5 linked regions of the Ovis aries genome follow. The protein of the gene in region 2 interacts with the protein of the main gene of each other region in a biochemical or structural test. Links are inferred from orthologs where the notes say so. Each region holds a gene or a part of one and is shown on either strand. Other genes may lie near its edges. The genes, in order: WAC, RNF20, UBE2B, UBE2A and histone H2B type 1-B.

Region 1 (3,512 bases), on a different chromosome or scaffold from region 2:
AAAAAGAGAACTTTATATCAAGATTATAAAATAAATCTTAATGCTCATGGATCGGGGGGGAGGGAATGATTTTTTTTTTTTTTTTAACCATCTCTAATGGTGAAGTGTATTCCTTTAAGATTTCACCCCTCACGTTTCTTGAGAAGATACTATTTTCAGTCTCATGGTAGTACAGCAGTAAGATAGAAGGACTCATGATTTGTGGTTAATAAAAAATGCTGGATCAGCCAAAGTGAAGTCCAGGTATAACACTGATAAAAGGGCCTTACTGTATCCCCATATCAAGAGATACACAATGCATGACCATGAGCTTACAGAACATTTCAGATGGTTAGTCATTTGATAAAATGGAGCAGCCAGTGACAATCACTGGAATGTGCTAGGGTTGGTCCTTCATCCCAAAGTACAAGTGTTTTCTAAGTTTCAGTAGTTAGTTGAACCTTGAACAACAGAGGTTTACACTGTGCAGGCAGGCCCACTTACACATGGATTTTTCCCAATAATCAACACCCCTGTCCTACACAATCCATGGTTGGTTGATCTGGGGATGAGGGACTGTGGATATGGAGGGCTGACTATAAACCATACTTGGATTTTTGACTGTGTGGAGAGTCAGCCCCTCACCCAAGTTGTTCAAGGGTCAACTGTACTAAAAGGATCAGAGTAGCTGGCTGAGTAGGAAAAGCATGCTGGCTTTGAGTCATATCTAGTAACTGAGTGACCTTGGTACAGATCATTTGGTCTTAAGGGCCTCATTAGTAAAACGAAAAACTCATGATCAGTAGTTTTAGAAAATGGAAAAAATAAACATAAAGCACTTAGCACAGAGCTAAACGCTGAGCACTTGATAATGGGAGCTATAATGATAATTAAAATATGTGAAAAACAGAAAGTTACCTCACAAATATCCTGTAAGTACGTATAAAATATTTACAAAGTGACCACAGACAATCTAATGAGAAATTAGTTGTTTTAAAGACTGCTCGAATCCACAGGGTCCGGGTCAGATTTTCTCAAAGTGGAACTGAGCTGCTAGCAAACCACAGGCAGAACACCTGCTGTGACTGTGACGTACCTGCTTCTCCGCATGATCTGCAGGCCATCCTTGAACGTGCTTGATGAGATTTTCATTGAAGTGTGCTGCAAGCGTCGGTGTTAGTGAACACGGGGGTCGGGCAGAGGAGTTCTGTGGCACAACTGCTGTGCTCGGTGCATTACTACTAGGCGTGTGATTCGGACCAGGTGACGGACTCCTCTGGCTGCTACGAGAGAAGACGACCGAGCATGGAGCATGGTTAAGAGTGGCTTCCAGGTTTCCTAAACACTGCCTGTCAATACCTTTCATTAACTTAAAGATACCCAAATTCCTAAGAATAACATTATTTTAATATTAAGTAAGTATAATTTCAAATCCAAAGAATATTTACATCATATTCCTAATACACGTCTGGAGGTTAAAAGAGCCCTTTAAACAGTAATGTCAGGGCTGAATTTAAAATATCTGTACTCACCCAAACTTGACAGTGGAACCTGTGACTTTGTATACTACAAACACTAATAAGGATGTGACTAAGCAATGGTCACATTAGAACAGTTGTAGATATGAGGCACATCAATATATCTTAAATACATGAAGACATGGAGGGTGAAAAGGTCAGAGGTTTTGACTGTTTAAAATCAGAGTAAAGCGTGTAATCAGAGGGTGAAATAATGCGAAGCAAAACAGACACTGTAACTGCCTCACAATGAATGAGTTCAGTGGCAAATAAGACCAAAAATGGGGAACACTCTGAGGTTGCATATCTTCTTTTCACCTGTATGGTTTGGGCCAGGATTTGGGGATGTGGTGATGAGAATCAAGAATGTAATACCCCAAAGCTGACTTTCCAGCTGCCTCACACCAGACTTTGCTCTGAATGAATTTCACTTATTTCCAAAAATGAAGTCTCCCAAAAGATGAAGAGTTTTCATCACTGAGTATATTTAAAATTATACTGCAGCCACTAAAGACTAAAGGTTCAGAGTTGAGGCTATCAGGAAGGCCTTACACACATCAGTTGGAAAATACTGACCCAAGTTTCAGATGTGAGGTTTTTGGCTTTATCAATAAACTCAAATCCAAAACTGCTATTGGGAAGTTATCACTTCCAATGAATGAAGTAGTATAAAATCATGTGCCTCTACAAGTGAAGTGTCACATATAGTTACTCCCATTGTATTCCATCAAGCAAAATTCTAAACAGAGAGCCTCTTCCTCAAAATAACTCAGGATTCACTACTAAAGACAATCTAATAAGATCTGCCTTTGTAAATTTTATAATACACAAAACTATGTTAGGCTATCCATGGATTCTTCCAAGATCAAGGTCTACTATGCATATATAATATCCAAATAATATGGTAATAGAAGGAAAAAACAGTGTTTTCTCAACACACAAAATCAACTTACTTTGAGCGCTGAAGGCTTCGAGGAGAGACAGGTTCATGACCTTGCTGCTTGTCAGCAGTTACAGGCTGCTGTGTGGACGACTGTGAAACTGGTCCTTGCTTAACTACTGGAGTACTAACCTGGAATGTCAAAATCTGATGAGACAGGCTTCTACCACATAAACAAACAGCAGTGGAAACTAGATAAGAGCAAAAGTTCTGCCAATGAAAACTTCCAATTATTTATGTTCAGTGATTTTTTTTAAAGGTAAGAATTGTCTTAAATGTTCACAATAAGATCAGTATTAGCGATACAGCCACACTTAATTATGTAAACTATTGTCATTTAGGGCCCAAATCTTCAGATCCCTCCAAGTCTAGTTAGTAATCTTGAACAATATAAAATATGGAGATTTAAAGAAGAGGAATTAAGTGAGTTTCCAAAGGTTACGTAGTTAGGGCCAAACAGTTACTTAAGCCAACCAGCTTAAGAAACTAGTTCTCCTGATTTCAAGCTCCATTTTCTTTCCAGTATACTGTAACATCTTTTCTGATTTACTATTACTTCTGTATCAATAAATATATTACACCACATCATACAAATACAGCTGCTTAAAATTCAATCACAAATGAAGAGAATGTATAGACTTGTCTATCAGAGAATGAGAAATGGCCCATATGCAATTTAACTGGAGTGGGCTTCAAAGAGATGGCACCCTACAGTGGCAGACCAAGAGGTCCATGGTTACCACTGTGGACACATATTTTCATACACACATGTGACAGAAAACAAGCAGTTTTCAATGTAAGTCCAAAATATATACAAAAGCATGTTCTTTTATAAAGAACATTTTAATAAGATATATATAAGATCAAATGCCCACTTACTTTTAAAGACAATCTGAAAGGTTTATAATGCAAAAAACTACAAGCCATCTGCTTACAGGATTTGAAGTGACAATGTTACGATCAACTGTAAACCCAACACAACCACTATGCTGTGTACACCCATCTTTCACTGTGCTCTTAGAATACCACAGGGTAAGTTATAAGCTCTAAGAATAGGTCTCTTGTGCGAAAACTCA
Region 2 (4,032 bases):
CTCTGGTGGACAGCTCCAGTCACACCACCAGTGTTCCCACTTGAAGCATACCATGCAGTCTCAAAGTTTTTTGTTCCACAATCTCAGCTGGTTTACCACAGAAACCTTGAAGTGCAGAAGAGAAGTTATTGCCTTCAAGGGCAACTGTCAACCAGCTGGGGCAGGATCAGTGGATACCTGCCCCAGCTCCCCACCCTTAGAGAGGAAGAATAGGAGGGAGGAGAAAGACAAGGAATGAGGGAACAATTTTGTTAACTGAACTCCTTCTTATAAACTTAGCTCCCTTACAATCTTTTTTCAAAACCTAAGTCAGAGCATGTTACTTCCCTGCTTAAAACCTTCCAGTGGCTCCTTACTGCCTTCTGGATAAAGTCCAAACTGGGATGCGTGTTTTGTGCATCCCTTCACATATGTAGTTATCTCTGGGAAGAGCCCATTTTTCACTCTATCATAACAGTCTGTTCTTTTCTCAGTGCCAACCTACAAACTGAAGTCCAGGAGCTGTCCTTAGTATAAAGCACAGTGTCTGGCAAATAACAGATGCTCAACAAATATTTATGTTTATTGAATGAAAAAATGTCCCTCGGATGCATGATGTGAGACAGTGCCAGGACAAAATCACCTGCTGGCAACAGGAGGCTGATGAATCCCAGACAGCAAACCCAGAAACAATGCTTCATCAATAATTTACTCTTGAATGTTCCTATTACTCTCTGATCCTCAATTTCAAAAAGTAGATATGGTTTTGTAGGCTATACAAATGTAAAGCATTTTTACACCATATCCCTATGGTTAAGTTCCAAAATACAGACTCCTTACCTATTACAGTGAGTTTATTATGGTGTCTAATGGACATATAACATTGCTATAAGTTTTTGGTGTATAATTGTCTAAAAAAATTGACAACTCCATAACAATAAGGAAGATATCTATTTTACTCACCATTATAGACACAATATCTGGCCCAATAAAAACTATTAATAGAGCACATATACTGAGTACTTACCATGTTAAAAAGTAACGTTCCTTAACAGGAACCCTTTCATTTCCTCCTCTCAAAACCCCAATGAGGTAGATACTATGATTACATTTTACAGACAAGGAAATAAGAAGGCACTCTCTCAATGATTGATTTTGCTACACTGCCTCTTAGTACCTGGCCCCTTAGTTCCCAATGAATGAAAAATCAGTGTATAGCTTCCCACTGCTAAATAACTACAATCAATGCTGAATCTGGCACCAGACTCTTCAAAGAATATGAATATACTTTTAAAAACAAAGATCAAGTGTCATTATATTTCTTTTTCAGAAATGAGCAACACATCATTTCATCTACTTTTGGCTGTTTTATCTCCCTCTTCTTTTCAAATCAACTTCCCTTACTCCAAAAGGCTTCCATAATTATTACTTCTAGGTTGCAACTGACAGAAGAAAAGCACACTCTCATAGCATTATTTCCACATACCGTTGAAGAGACACCCCCAAGTTTAATTGTTTCCACTGTGGTCCCTGAATCTTCAACAGCTGTCTTCTTCTCTGGAGGCACAGATGTGCCAGGCTCTCCAGCTGCTCTTTTATTTCCAATTCCTGACATCGTGGCACAAGATGATAACTGTTTTCCTGGAGAGAAAAAAAATCTTAGGTAAGATAGGCAAGGAGAGCAACTAGAGTCGATCTATGATGTAAAAACTAGCAACTTTTCCTGTCAATCCTTTAACCCGGGTCCATTAATTTCACACTTAGCAACCTGATCCTCAGGTTCCTCTTGGAAAGAGAAAAGTAAATTGTGAAGTAAGAGTCGCAGCTGAATTTACAGAACTACAAAGTTCTAAATAGGATGCTACTAAAATACAAGATAACAGGCAAAGGATGAAGAAACTTAGAAAATTTTCAGGCATCTCATTTCCTGAAATGCCAACATCTGAAAGTATAGTTTAATTTAGAAATACAGAAAATCAGTTAATTATACAGTGTTGGGAGAATCAGAGAGCTGGAAGAGACCTGGGAGATGTCTACTTTATTAACACTGAACAAGCCATATATCATCTCTGAGCCTCAATTTCCTAAAGCAGAAATAACAACAGTATATGCTTCCTATGCTCCTCATAAGGAATGAATAAGTACAGAAAGACTTTAGCATAAGGCCGAACACGAAGCATGCACTCAGCAATGCTAACTCTCCTTTTTATATTTGCAGTTTCCCTATTTCTAAACGCTCTCCCCACGAATTTGTGTCACCCTAGAGAAGCTAGATCTGCGTGTGAATCCCAGTACTAACTCTTAGAGAGCCGTGCTGCCTTGGAAAGGAATTTTTGATATGCACAATGCAAGTGACCACATACTGTCTCTGCCCTACTCGCCTCCCAAGGTTTCGGAGCTCAAAAGAAGCGGAATAGATGCTAAAGCACTTTGCTACTGAAGGTATCAGCCCTGCCATCACCGAGACGACACACAACTCCGCTTCCAACTGAAGCTCCAGGAGAAGGATATCGGTGGCAGCAACCTGAGTGGGACCTCGCCTGGAGAGAGAGGAGGAGGACAATGGCCTCAATCCGACTCCAGAGGGGCCAAGGACCCCAGCCTTCGGAGAGGCCAATTACAGGCCCGGGAGAGGGAGGCCTTGGAGCGGAAGAGGGTGGGGATACCCGTTGCCCGCTGAGTCCCGTCCCGCCCTTGGCCGAGATCTAACCTGAGTTCTTCCAACTTGCGCCGCCGGGGAGTGGAACGCGGGGCAGTTATTCACCAAGGTCCGCGTAGCCCTCCCACCTCTCACCCCTAACCCACAAGTGAAGATCCAGCGAAGCTTCCGGGAGGCGGGGCCAAGGGGAGGAAGAAGGGAAAGAAAGGAGGAAGTAGCTTCAATCTGGCAGCGAGAAGGACAAGACTCAACCGGGCGGAAGTGACACGCATCGAGGGCGCCCCGCTTCCGGAAGTAAGTGCGGTCTAGCAGCTCTTGGGCACCCGGCGGCCGCTTTGTAGAGGCCTCGCTGACGTCAGAGGAAACGTCCCAGATTTTTTTCCCGTTTGTTAACCATTGCTACTGCGACCTGTTTTTCTTTCTTTCTTTTTTTTTTTTACTGTGAATAGTGAAAATTGCTCAGTCGTGTTCGACCCTTTGTGACCCCATGAACTATACAGTCCATGGAATTCTCCAGGCCAAAATACTGGAGTGGATAGCCGTTCCCTTCTCCAGGACATCGAACCAGAGTCTCCCGCACTGCAGGCGGATTCTTTACCAGCTGAGCCACCAGGGAAGCCCTTAAGCGTCCCCCCTCCTTTTTTTTTTAACTGAGTACCTTTTGTTTACAGTGCCTATTGTTCTGTTACCTATTATTGGTTCTGCTCAGACTGGCGATTGGCTAATGGCGCCGTCAATCTCCAGGGGAAAGGACTAAGTTTCAGACACCTCGGAAAAATTACTGTGAGCCCCTTTTTGCTGAAATGAAAAGTTCTGGAGAAAACCCAAGAGATTCGGTGAGTTTAGAAGGTTGTGGCTATTTCAGGGAAATGTATGACAGCTCTGTCTACACATTAAAATCACTTGGGGAGTTTTGGTCCCTCTTGTGTAGGGCCTGGGCATCCACATTTTATAAAAAAAAAAAAATTTTCCCAACCCTCCCCCACCCCCACTGGATTCTAATGTGCAAACGGGATGGACAGTTACTATCTTTGTGTATCTTTTCAACAAGAAATTGACCAGGGAATAGATAAACATAAATCAATAAGTTGATTCTGATCTTAACACTCGTCTATTTTAAGCTAATTAAGCATTGATTTTTTAGTTAATAACAAACTGCTATTTTCCACTCAATTAAACAATGTGTTTTAATGATAGGAAGGTAATCAAACTAATTTATTGATGAAAAGCTGTATGCCTCACAGAGGTATAAAAAACTACCCAGTAAAGTCAGAATGTAAACAGTGGGAAACAAGCGTTCATGTTTCCTGATACTAGAACACTTTGCCCAGCGGTAAAGAGGCAACTGGCTCCAAATGAACTCTTTGGGTGAAGCAGAAGCCTGAGAACCATGT
Region 3 (4,312 bases), on a different chromosome or scaffold from region 2:
ATGCTCTTATACAAATACGCCTACATGCAATACATACTATATGTAAAATATAAGACTGCACCTTGAAAGGCTCCATACAGTTATTTCACATTAAGCTGTCAAACATTTTTTATTTAAATTCTTACTATGGTGGAAGTTATCAATATTTTTGGTTCCTACTCTTTTTACAGTTCTAGTAGAATACATACTAAGCATTTGCTTGGCACATTTTGTACAAACTTATCATTCTCCTGTAGTCTCAAATGATATTTTTATCAAATAAAACCCACTGATTATAAAATCAAATTTTATGTGACTGCCAAAACTCTATCAGAATTTTTTTTAAATCTTACAGTTTCTGTAAGATCCCTCATCCCTAGGAAAGTTTCCCTTCCTAGCTGTTATACATTCAATTTTCTTAAAAGAATCACCATACCTACCATTTGTTATTTCTTTCAACTCACCCAAATATAACTGCATTCCACTGCATGATGTTGTTTTCTGATGGTGCGCCACTGACACCCACAGGTGGGTCCTCTTGCAATCTAGAAATCCAGAATAGAAATTTTAAAAGTTGAACATTAAGGCCACTAAGAAGGCCAGTCAAACATCTTTCAACCATCTACTTTGAGAAACAAACTAAATCCATTTTCTTGTTGTGCTGAGCTGGAATAAACCATACCACTTTAAATGGCTTGGGAGTCATCCCTCTTCAAATATCACCAAGGTTAAGATATCTGTTCAAGAACTACTTTTAACAATAACAACAAAGGAAAAACCTCAAGTGTAAAAAAACACTATTTACTCAACTATCAATTTTGCTACTGTAAACATGCAAAGGCTGTGTGAGTCCTAACCAAAGCTACTTGGGCAACATGGCCACCAAAAAAACTCTCCCCCAAACAAAATATAAAGACCCCACCTCAGTGTAAACATTAAATGACTGAAAAACACTTGCATCCAGTTTAATCAGGAAACTAGTTTTGGGCAGTAGAACTACTTTATTCCATTTGCGTTAGCAGCAGCTTTTAGAGTAAGCAAAGCTCTGGCTAGGTTTTCCCTCAGTCCCTATTTTAAAAGCTCTGCACCAATACTGCATTTTACCTCTCAGATCATGCGCCCATATACAGAGCTACCTTCCAACACCTGTTACAAACTCTTGCAAAAGACGACCCTTGGAAAACTACCGAAGGTGCCAAGCACACAACTCAGAATTAAGCAGAGAACTGCAATGAGAAACCAGGGTACCAAAGGCCAGGAACCTCGAAATTTTATTATTGGAATTTCACTCATGGGAGCTAATCTGAAATCTATGGTTTCAAGCTGTAGAAACAGAGTTTTGCACAAAAAGGAGTATCTCCTTTTAAAACTGTCATCTCAGGAAAAAAAGTAAACGCGACACTAAATATACACACACACACACACACACACACACACATAAACACACCGTCATGTGATATGATTCTTGGAATTAGTCCCCCAAAATGGCTTTTAGTCAACCTTAAGCAGTACAGGCCACGACGAAAAGAAGAACCCTTGGAAGATACGGGGCGTGATATCGCCCACCAAAGATAAAGGCTAAGTTACCAATACACTCAAGGCCAAACTGGGCAAAGCCCCAAACAATGGCTTCCAAGTGCCTCATTTAAAGGTTTACAATGAAGTTGAGAGGTTACTTCCTGATAAGCCAATCCAAGTTTTTACACTGGATTTTTTCTCTCGAGCAGGGCAGATCTCCCTAGAAAAACACTTATAAATGCGCACGGGAGCGTAACGCTAAGTTTTCTTGGTTATTTTCTTCTCCGTACCTGTAAGCATTCAAAGTAAAACAACTGGGGGGAAAAAAGTCACTTCCTCCTCATCAACCCTAATATCTAACAAAACCCTATTTTACAAAAGAGGCTCAGGGAGTATCAGCTTAGCCCCAGCCTCCAGAAAGGCATTTTTCCAGACCTTGGAGGCTATAGATAGGTCTTTACACACCAGGCCACAGAGCTGAGTTCCAGAAAGCACTGGCAGCCGGGTTTGCCAGCCCGAATCGCAGCCCTCTAAGCCAGTTCTCAAGGTCCTTTCAGGCGGGCGGGGAGGGATTGGGGGGGGAAGAGTCGGGTTTCGGAGGATGGGTTAACAACCTCCGGCCCTCGCGCATCAGACCCCACCCTCACTGCAGAAAGAATGGGGAGGGAGGCGGGGGTTGGCCCCAACCCTGGCAGTCGGAAAGGCGGCAAGGCCATCGAACAAAGCTGACTGGTGTAGCTAGCGGTGGAAAGGCTTCTGCAAGGGCTCGCTCTTAGGGCAGAGAGAAGAGGCACCGCAGGGTGCAGAGGCGAAGGATGAGATTTGAAAGCCAGGGCGAGGTATCAGGCAACTGGCCGCAGTGGGCAGCAGGGAATCGTAGGACAAACCATAGCCATCTTTTTACTTTTTTGTGGGGGTAGGGTGGTGGTGAGGAAGTATCAAAATTTCTTACGTAGGACAAGTGAACAACCAAGGAGAAGAGAGTGCTAAAGCGGGGCTGGAACTGGGCTTCCATCTGTCCCCCTGGGCCCACAGCAGCCCTCTTAGGGTCAAGAGGGGAAGGTGTCCCGGATCCCCACCCTAGCCCCGGAGCTTCGGGGAGGAGTCGTCATTCAGGCGAAAATGAAGGCCCTTACCTCTTGAAATCCCGCATAAGCCTCCTCCGGGCCGGGGTCGACATGCTCCCCAGCAGCCCCGCGGTCAGTCTGAAAGAAAAGAGTCCCGCGCAGCCCCCCCACCCCCCGGCGCGGCGGCCGAATCACTGTGGGTCACCGCCGCCGCTGCCGAGGTTGCACAAACAACCCTGCAATGACGTCTCCCTCCGCCGCCTCCAGATCCCTCCGCCCTCCGCCGGTACCATGCAGTGAGGGGTGGGGGAGAAGGGAACGGGACGTAGGAGAGCTAGTTACGGGGCCCCTTCACCAGGGACCTTATCCCTTTTGTCTCCTTGAACGAATTGACCAATTACTGTTCCTTATGCTCAGACTGGAGGTTGTGATAAAGAAGTACCGGAACTGAAACAACACCAACCCGTCTCCCCCTCTTTCACTAGTTTAGGCTCAGCCGGGTGGGGAGAGAGGGACGCATCCGGGGCCAGAGATTTCAGGGAAAGGAGGTAGGATGACGTAAGATCACGTGACTGCCGGCGGCGTTGTCAACAATCCACCTCCGAGGGGGAGGGGACGAAGTATCTAGAACCACGTGTCCCTATGACGCCATTAGGACGGATCACGTGAGAGCGTCTCCTGGATCTAACTTTCAGCCGTCTTTCAGCCCGGTAGTTAAATTTATGGGCTGAGGGCTGGTAGGCACTTTTATGTTTTTTCTCCATTTTGTCCTGTGGACAGCTATTGATGAGATTGTGTCGGAAGCAGTAGTTTGTTTTGCTTCTTAAATCTTTAAAATAGAGCCCCAAATAATTTGGATTTAAAACTCCCCTCTGGTTGGCTCAATGGCTTATCAAATCTGGCATCTGAGGAAAAGTGAAGGGACCTCCGTTTTCCTCAGCTGAATGCAGAGGCCCATACAAAGCGAAATCCCCTGAAATGCTTCCTTAGGGCCACCAAATATTACTGTATGAGCATTGCAGTGTGTTTCCAGGGTTGGCGATGCTGGGCAGAGATTAAAGAACGGTGTACAGATTGTTTAATGTTTGTTTACAATCCCCACAGGATTACGGAATTTTGTTTATCCTTTATGAGTCTGCTCTTATTTGAGGCTTTGTGTCAGAGTCCTTGGATTGGTCTACAGTGGGGTACCATTGTATTTGTCAAGAAATGTGCAGGTTTGATCATAGAGAGTGTGTATAAAGAGAGTGTAGGTGACTAGTTGCCAAACCTAAAAGTTTGACTCACATGTGGGGGAGAGATCATGCAGACGTGGATAGGGGTTGTATATCTAGCCTGAGTAATTTATTTCAGATTTTCAACACTAGTAAGTTAATAGCCTGAAACGTCCCCCACCGGGGCTCAGAGATACTGGCCGTTGGAATTCTGACATTATTTCTAGTCATTGAGTTTCCTTCCTCTATCGCCTCCAATTCTGTTCTTAAAGACTTTTTTTTTGGCTGAACCCTGAGCTCTTTAAGTCCATTTGGGTGATTCCTCAACCCAAGGTGTTACAGTAAGACAGAATGAGGAATATGGCGTTGGGCATACTTTCATTGAACTAGAAAGGGTTAGTTTCCCCTACTTTTCTGGTACCTCTCTTTCTTCAATCCCTGAATTCTTTCTCTTGCTTTTATTAAATGCCTTGGTAATCAAGTTAGCCAGATCTAATACTTGATAGATACCCACCGACAAATGTAATTCTCTAA
Region 4 (4,089 bases), on a different chromosome or scaffold from region 2:
AACTATGCCACTTGTTCCTAATCGGGCCTTTCCAGTAAATTTCCTAGCTATAAATAACAAGTATTTTTAAATGGTCAAAAAAATTCTTGTAACCTTGGTTAGTGTTTGAGACACCTGAGGAAGCATTCATGGATAGCAGACTGCTCAAAAGAATGAATCAGAAAAGGGTACTGTCATTCAGCCTGAGTAATTCCTTTCAGTAATGTCAGGGTGGAGAGACACATCATCAAAAATAGAACCAGTAATGTCAAGGGGGAAGGTCCAGGTAGATAATGGATTCCATAAGTACTTCTCCAATTCATACCACTTAAAGCGAGAGAAGCACCCTTGAAATATTTAAGTTGCCAACCCCTAGCAAAGCGATGTACTATTAATAAAGTTGCGCCCAGCATAAAGCAGTCCGAATAAAAATCAGGAGGAAAAAAGAAGCCAATGAAAATAATTTGCTTTGCTGGAGCTAAAGCAAATACACAGCTAATCTGCACATAAAGCTTAAGTATGAAGAACCAGCAACCGATCTAATGGAGGAAAACTAAGCCTAGCTAGCTTCTGCTATGGATCAGAATCAGTTCAAATGATTTACCTCACACACCAAAGTAGTATGCCTTCAGGATCATACTCCCTTGCTGTCATTTCTTTTTATCAAAGCACTGAAGAACAGTGATATTTACCCAGGAGGTGAAGGCAGAGAAGAAACAAACCACCTAGATTACTGTTTACAATCTGCTAGGGAAATCTGAGTGTTTGAGACGAATCCTAGAATTGGTTTGTATTCATTTACCTCACAACATGCTGTGGTTGGTAACATCCAAAGGCAATCTGACTTGGCAACTTTGCTTGTACTGAGTAGTTTGTAGAAATGCTTTTGTTGCCACCTTCAAATGGAGGTGTATGCATATGTGTGTGCATATGTGTGCAGATTTCTCTCAAAGGCTATATGACCAAAGGAATATAAGGCATTGAGAAGAAAATAAATAACAGAAAGACCCTTTTCTGTTTAAAAATACCTCAAATATTAAAGATGTCAATCAGTAGTTCAAATACTTTTAATCATCTTTTTAAATGCATTAAGCTTTCAAAAGCAATTAACTATACACACACATACACACACATTTGAGTGCACATAAAACTATATCTATGTCAATTTCCTGGTTGTGCACAGTCATTCCAGATGTTACCAGGGGAGAGGGGGGAACAGGTGAAGGGTACACAAGGTCTCTCTGTATTATTATTTATTACAATTCCACACAAATCTATAATTATATCAAAACAAGAAGCTTTAAAAAGTCCTTAAAAAGCAACTTAGTGTGTTTTTAAAAGTCAAACCTAAACCTAAAAATCATGTACCTGTAAGTACGTGTAGTATCTTGAAGTAGGTTGGACACTGGTAAGAGAGTACTTTAAGGCTCCCCTCAATTGTGAAACTGCCTTGAGATTACTGATCATAAAGTCTTGATAAAAGCACACGCTGAAAACTCATTTAAAAATAAGAAACAAGGAACTGGCTATTGAAGGTGCCATTAAAGACCACTTTAAAGCAGTGAGGCTGAAAAGCACTCAATGTCAGATTATAGAAACCAGACAGTTGTGTGCAAGGGATTCCTGCATCCATTCAACATCCAACACCACACATGAGGCACCTGCTGAACACAGTTCCCACCCTTGTGACAGAATTCTGAACCAGACAGTCCCTGGGGTCTCCGAGTTGATCAGCAAGTGGTTGGGTTGATCCTGATGGAGGGGGTGGTGGTCCTGAATTTAGCAAGATCACAACCCAAACCTCACAAACCCTTAACATCAGTGGTATTATGCTCCTTTTAAAAAGTGACTGCCTTACTCAGATTTTTTTAAGCAGCAGTTCTAGTCAAGCGGACAATAGCCAGAACAACCTGCCACAGACTGGACTCCTCTCAAGTCTTTAGCAGGCAAAGGCTAGGGAGAAGCGGGTTATTAAGTAGGAGGCACTTCCAGGCTGACTGGGAAACACTTTCCCCAGAAGATCAGGGTCCCAAAAGGTGGGTAAAGAAACTCTCTTACCATCCTCAAACGGGGTCCCTTCAGGCCTACAACACAGAGAGAAACAAGTCAGTTCCCACATCAGGGGCTCCTCTCTCCCCGGTTCATCTGTTCGCCCCACCTCTGGTAAACCACCGCTTCCCGGGTTGCAAAGCCACGACCAATAGAGCTTTGGGGCTCAGAAACCCCAGGCAGGCCGAAGCGCCACCGCTCCCCGCCCCGCCCCCCTCCGAACCCCAAACGGTTCCCCTGGCAGCGCGAACCGAGCTAATCGAGGCACAGGCTCCGGGGAGGCGCCTAGGCCCAACGAGCCCCAAACCTTCTCTCTCAGTCCCCGCCTCCGCACCGGGTGGGTCCCAGAGGGCACACGGGTCCCCCGGCCCTCACCACCATCCGGAACGCAGACTCACCCAAAAATGACCGCGTTCCAAACCATGATGTTGTTCTCGGACGGAGCCCCGCTGACTCCGGCAGGAGGATCCTCCTGTAACCTACAGGGAAACACCACAGGAACCTCCCGCTATCCTGAACCCGCCGCCCGCCCGGCCCGCTGCCGGCCCCGCCCTGTACCCCGGCGGCAGCCCCCGGCCCCTAGAGTCCCGGGCGGGTTACCTCTTGAAGTCCCTCATGAGACGCCGCCGAGCCGGGGTGGACATGTCTCTAGCGGGGTCAGGGGTGGGGCATACACCGAGCTCTCGGGTCCCCGCGGGTGGTGAGGAGGCTGAGGAAGCCGGAGGAACCAACGGAGAACCGCCTAGAGGAACCGCACTGCCTCTCCTAAGTCGAGGGTCGATCTGGCGCCGGCTTAGCACCACCCCAGAGTAGACCGGGGCTGAACCAACCTGGAAGGAAACGACGGGGGTGGAACGCCAAACGCCGGACAGACCGTACCAAGACGGGACAGGGGTGGGGGGGGGGAGGAAAGTTGCTTAGGTCATTAAACCCCTGAGGGACGGGGGGAGCGAGGGTGAGAAGCAAGCTGCGGGCCTCATGTAATTGCCGGGAACTCAATAGGATCGGGTGGTGGAATCGGTCCACCTTCACTTGCCAATTCTAAGACGAACCGTGGGAAGCTTTTTTTCTACTTTTCCTTTTTCTTCTTCTTCTTTTTTTTTTTTTTTTTTGAGATCAGATCACTTATTAAAGTGCGCACAGTGGCTGAGGGGGAGAAGGATGAAGTCTCAATCTCAATGAGGACAGAGTGGATGAAGGCGAAACCAGTTCTCCTAAAGCCAGAAATCTAGGGGGTACACCTCCTACGGACACGGGAAACTGGGGAGGAAGCTGTGTGACTGGTCAAAATCACTGAACATCCAAAGAGTAAATCGACCTCGATGGTGAGGTCGAGGGTCCCTTCTCTATGGGATGAATGTGCGGGCCCCAACATTTAGGCCGATGATCACCCCCAAAGCAGAATGAAATGGTGATGTGTGTCCTGGGGGAGGGAATGAGAGCTGGAGGCAAGCAGAATGAGGCTTTAGCTTTGGGCACTCACAATTTGGCTCTGGAACCACATTTCCCCTTGACAGTTCAACAAGCCAAGTGGCTACTATATGTTCAGAAGAGTCCAAGGGTATGAGAATATCCGATTGCAGAGAATTGGAAGAGCAGTGAGTCTGAAGTAAAAGGAACGGTAAGATGCACGTGAAAAAGCTGTAGGTTGCAGGGAAGAGTCACAGTTAGTATGTGGACCTGCAAAAGCAATAACAGTTTTAAAGAATGTTTTTTAAAAAGGTCAACTCCAAATAACATAGAAGGTAGGCAAAATACTCATTTAAGAATTTTTTGGAAATATGAGAAAAGTAGGTCTAGGTTCACTCAGGGAGAGTTTTGAATGCCAAGCTGATGGCTTCCTTGGAAGTTGGTTGAGCAGAAAGGCAACATGATCAGAGCTGTACTCACTGGAGACGGGTCCCAGGACAGCAATTAGAAGACTCTTGAAGTATTCCAGGTGAGAGGTAGTGAACCAGGCAATGACAATAAAAACAGACAGGACTTGCCAACAGAACGTGGGGACAAGAGAGAGGAAGGAGTCTACGGAGGCTCAAGTTCTGGGGACTTCCCTGGTGGTTC
Region 5 (3,780 bases), on a different chromosome or scaffold from region 2:
TTCTTCTGTGTATTCTTGCCACCTCTTCTTAATATCTTCTGCTTCTGTTAGGTCCATACCATTTCTGTCCTTTATTGAGCCCATCTTTGCATGAAATGTTTCCTTAATATCTCTAATGATCTTGAAGAGCTCTCTAGTCTTTCCCATTTTATTATATTCCTCTATTTCTTTGCACTGATCCCTGAAGAAGTCTTTCTTATCTCTCCTTGCTATTCTTTGGAACTCTGTATTCAAATGGGTATATCTTTCCTTTTCTCCTTTGCTTTTCACTTCTCTTCTTTTCACAGCTATTTATAAGCCCTCCTCAGACAGCCATTTTGCTTTTTTGCATTTCTTTTTCTTTGGGATGGTCTTGCTCCTACAGTGTCATGAACCTGCATCCATAGTTCATCAGGCACTCTATCAGATCTAGTCCCTTAAATCTATTTCTCACTTCCACTGAAATAATCATTAAAGATTTGATTTAGGTCATACCTGAATGGTCTAGTGGTTTTCCCTACTTTCTTAAATTTAAGTCTGAATTTGGCAATAAGGAGTTCATAATCTGAGCCACAGTCAGCTCCTGGTCTTTTTGCTGACTGTATATAGTTCTGTAAAATATCAACTATTAGGAAGAAAGGAAGGGGCAAGGAGAAGGAAGATAGAAGCAAGCAAGCAGGCAAATAATAAGTTCTACCCCAGGAGATAATTTTGAAGAGACTGAGATTATATTACCACTAAGATCTCATCCCTCCAGAGAGCAATTCTGAAACTGCAGCTTGAGTTCAATTTTTCTTTCTTTTCCCCCCAGAGATGAGTGGAGGGGGTTACAATCTAAAAACCAAGATTTTTAACTTCTAAGACAAGCTTCTGTTTCACAGGTATGTTTTATGTATGCTGAGACAGGGAAGTCTTCTCATATAGCAGTCACCTAATTTGTGTGGGATCTGGGAAAAGTTCATTTAACTCCAAAATTTAAAAGTGGTCTTTTTGAGAAATTCTACTTCGAGTTTTTATTTCCTTATCCAAACACACTGATGTATGTCACCTAAATATGGTGCTTATAAACCAAAGAAAAGACTTTCCCCTACCTTTTTAATATGCAGTCAACCGCTGACTTTTCGTGGCTCTTCCCCTCATCCAGCCCCACTGACTCCTTTTCCACAACCAAGGCCCTTCCTATCAGGATTATTTTGGGAGTAGTATGTTCTCTTAAAAAATTTTCCCAAGAAAAATTAGCACACCTTCCTCTCCACCTGGGGCCCTCCTAGTCTGCAAATGAGGTGACACCAGATGGGGAGGTCAGAAAATTCAAACCATTTCCCCTCCTAGAATTGGGAGTGCCACACTTTCAACCTCTTCTAGTGCCATCCCAGGAAGGTAAATGACCCAGGAAACTGGAACCCAGATATCAGGAATGCAAGAAAAATGGAAACGGCTTTACATTGGCTGTTTCCATCACTATACAATTATAATGAGAAATTAGAAAATCTCATTTCAACCATGTGCAGAGTTTAATACCTTATAAAAGTGTCCGCGGTTTGCTAAAGGAACAACAGGTGATTTTGCTTAGTTTCCCCAATAACAGGGAGAAAACCCCACTGATTTGCCTTCCCTGCAACCTGCCCTGAAAAGACAACCTGCATAAAGATGCCTTGAGGATCGGGACCCTGAAATCCCCCCAACCACTTCCTTACCCGGAAGGAAAATTCTAATCACCATCAAAAATTTTAAGAGGCCTCGTGAAGAGTGAGCATTTCCAAGCATCTGGATGCTTAGTCCATGGGAAACGGGAAGATGTGTCTTTCGGGGAACGTCTCTTAAATGCCAAGAGACTTTTCAAGTAGCTAGAGGTTCTGGCTCCAAAATTGCTTCAACTATTAACCCCACTAGAGTAGATGTAGATGCTTAAATCAATAGGACAGAATTGCATTTACCGCGCGAGAAAACGGCAGTTACAGTCTTTCTTCGACAAAGTGGGTGGCTCTGAAAAGAGCCTTTGGATTAACTGCCTATGCAGGCACTCATTTGGAGCTGGTGTATTTAGTGACGGCCTTGGTACCCTCAGACACAGCATGCTTGGCCAGCTCCCCGGGCAGCAGCAGGCGCACGGCCGTCTGGATCTCCCTGGATGTGATGGTCGAGCGCTTGTTGTAATGCGCCAGGCGTGACGCCTCGCCCGCGATGCGCTCGAAAATGTCGTTCACAAAGGAGTTCATGATACCCATGGCCTTAGATGAGATACCAGTATCTGGATGGACCTGCTTCAGAACCTTGTACACATAAATAGAGTAGCTCTCTTTACGACTGCGCTTGCGTTTTTTGCCATCTTTTTTCTGTGCTTTAGTGATGGCTTTCTTAGAGCCTTTTTTAGGAGCGGGAGCAGATTTAGACGGCTCAGGCATTGTTTTGCCCTAGAAACGTTAGATGATAGCCTCCGCGACTAAGATTACCAGTATGAGTTCAAAAACCAGATATTTATAGCGCTTCAATGTAAATGAGGAATGAAAAATTCTCACTTTTGATTGGGTAAGATCAGTACAGGTTCACTAAGGTCTGGAGGGAGGGGTTTATGCAAATAAGGGATACACATATTCTCTTTCTATTGGATAGAAAAACCTTCGTCCTTCTGACCAATAGGAGACCTAAGTGGCGCATCCCTCTACTGTCTATTAAAAAAATATTTTTATCCCCCCTTGGTCGTCCAGGGTTTTTTTTTTCCTGCTCACAAGTTTTGCTGTTGAGTTTTACAAAGTAACTATGTCTGGACGTGGTAAACAAGGAGGCAAAACTCGAGCTAAAGCCAAAACTCGGTCTTCCCGGGCTGGTTTACAATTTCTAGTGGGGCGAGTGCACCGCCTGCTCCGCAAGGGCAGCTATACCGAGCGGGTTGGAGCCGGCGCTCCGGTGTACTTGGCGGCGGTGCTGGAGTACCTGACGCCTGATATTCTGGAGCTGGCGGCAACGCGGCCCGGGACAAAAAGAAGACCCGCATCATCCCGCGTCACCTGCAGTTGGCTAACCGCAACGACGAGGAGCTGAACAAGCTGCTGGGCAAAGTCACCATCGCTCAGGGCGGCGTCCTGCCCAACATCCAGGCGGTGCCGCTGCCCAAGAAGACGGAGAGTCACCACAAGGCGAAGGGGAAGTAAAGCCTAGACAAAAGAAGAAACTTTTTAATAAACTATTCAAAGACTTTTCACAGCCATCCACATTTTTATTAAAAAAAAAAAAAAAAAGCTGGTAGCCAGGTTATGCTGCGTAGGTGGTTAATTGTAAAAAGACAAATGACATTAAAACAAAGACTCTGGAAATGTTCTCACAAGCATTATTTTACTGCATAGCTGGCGAAACCTTTGTAATCCACAAGGGCCTTTATAAAGAGAAGGGGAGACTAGAGCGGTACTTAGTCTTGAGGATAACAAAAAGCAATTACTCTTGCCAAGATTATTTTTCTCTTGCCTTTGCTTTCAAAATTTTAAAACAATCCCCCCGCCCCCCCATGGAAGTTTATCAGGATCCAGTGTATATATGTCATCAATTCCACCTTTGCATGCATGTGATTTTTTAAAATCATCCACCCAGGGACCCTGGCATGTAGTTTTACAGAAGATAAACTCAGAATTAGGGGAGATCTGATGACCAAAGTTAGAAAGTGGTAGTCCTGGTAGTTCGAGATTTACTTAAAGCTGACCCAACTGTGGGGGAGAAAGATCAATTGTATTCAATTTAGGATTGGAGCAGAAATACTGACAATCTTGAGAACGTGTCAAGAATTAAGAATATCAGGTCCCACCCGTA

Evidence for each region.
Region 1: the proteins of RNF20 (region 2) and WAC form a complex in vitro, tested with the Homo sapiens proteins (2 studies listed by BioGRID). The link is inferred for Ovis aries from reciprocal best matches to the Homo sapiens genes RNF20 and WAC.
Region 3: the proteins of RNF20 (region 2) and UBE2B form a complex in vitro, tested with the Homo sapiens proteins (4 studies listed by BioGRID, with this or other methods). The link is inferred for Ovis aries from reciprocal best matches to the Homo sapiens genes RNF20 and UBE2B.
Region 4: the proteins of RNF20 (region 2) and UBE2A form a complex in vitro, tested with the Homo sapiens proteins (4 studies listed by BioGRID, with this or other methods). The link is inferred for Ovis aries from reciprocal best matches to the Homo sapiens genes RNF20 and UBE2A.
Region 5: of the proteins of RNF20 (region 2) and histone H2B type 1-B, one has a biochemical effect on the other in vitro, tested with the Homo sapiens proteins (2 studies listed by BioGRID, with this or other methods). The link is inferred for Ovis aries from reciprocal best matches to the Homo sapiens genes RNF20 and H2BC3.

The regions. Positions count from the first base shown.
Region 1 is NC_056066.1:35,470,335-35,473,846, forward strand, and holds part of WAC (WW domain-containing adapter protein with coiled-coil), read right to left. Parts: intron 2,569-3,512; coding exon 2,450-2,568; intron 1,263-2,449; coding exon 1,076-1,262; intron 1-1,075.
Region 2 is NC_056055.1:21,572,857-21,576,888, forward strand, and holds the start of RNF20 (E3 ubiquitin-protein ligase BRE1A), read right to left. Parts: upstream 2,809-4,032; 5' UTR 2,690-2,808; intron 1,621-2,689; exon of another isoform or gene 1,613-1,620; 5' UTR 1,595-1,612; coding exon 1,466-1,594; intron 1-1,465. UniProt on the Homo sapiens protein: Component of the RNF20/40 E3 ubiquitin-protein ligase complex that mediates monoubiquitination of 'Lys-120' of histone H2B (H2BK120ub1).
Region 3 is NC_056058.1:43,581,264-43,585,575, reverse strand, and holds the start of UBE2B (ubiquitin-conjugating enzyme E2 B), read right to left. Parts: upstream 2,805-4,312; 5' UTR 2,678-2,804; coding exon 2,634-2,677; exon of another isoform or gene 525-2,633; coding exon 444-524; exon of another isoform or gene 1-443. UniProt on the Homo sapiens protein: E2 ubiquitin-conjugating enzyme that accepts ubiquitin from the ubiquitin-activating enzyme E1 and transfers it to a E3 ubiquitin-protein ligase. In vitro catalyzes 'Lys-11'-, as well as 'Lys-48'- and 'Lys-63'-linked polyubiquitination.
Region 4 is NC_056080.1:114,919,876-114,923,964, forward strand, and holds the start of UBE2A (ubiquitin-conjugating enzyme E2 A), read right to left. Parts: upstream 2,813-4,089; 5' UTR 2,673-2,812; coding exon 2,629-2,672; intron 2,508-2,628; coding exon 2,427-2,507; intron 2,064-2,426; coding exon 2,038-2,063; intron 1-2,037. UniProt on the Homo sapiens protein: E2 ubiquitin-conjugating enzyme that accepts ubiquitin from the ubiquitin-activating enzyme E1 and transfers it to a E3 ubiquitin-protein ligase. In vitro catalyzes 'Lys-11', as well as 'Lys-48'-linked polyubiquitination.
Region 5 is NC_056073.1:30,872,111-30,875,890, reverse strand, and holds the start of histone H2B type 1-B, read right to left. Parts: upstream 2,431-3,780; 5' UTR 2,385-2,430; coding exon 2,004-2,384; 3' UTR 1-2,003. UniProt on the Homo sapiens protein: Core component of nucleosome. Nucleosomes wrap and compact DNA into chromatin, limiting DNA accessibility to the cellular machineries which require DNA as a template.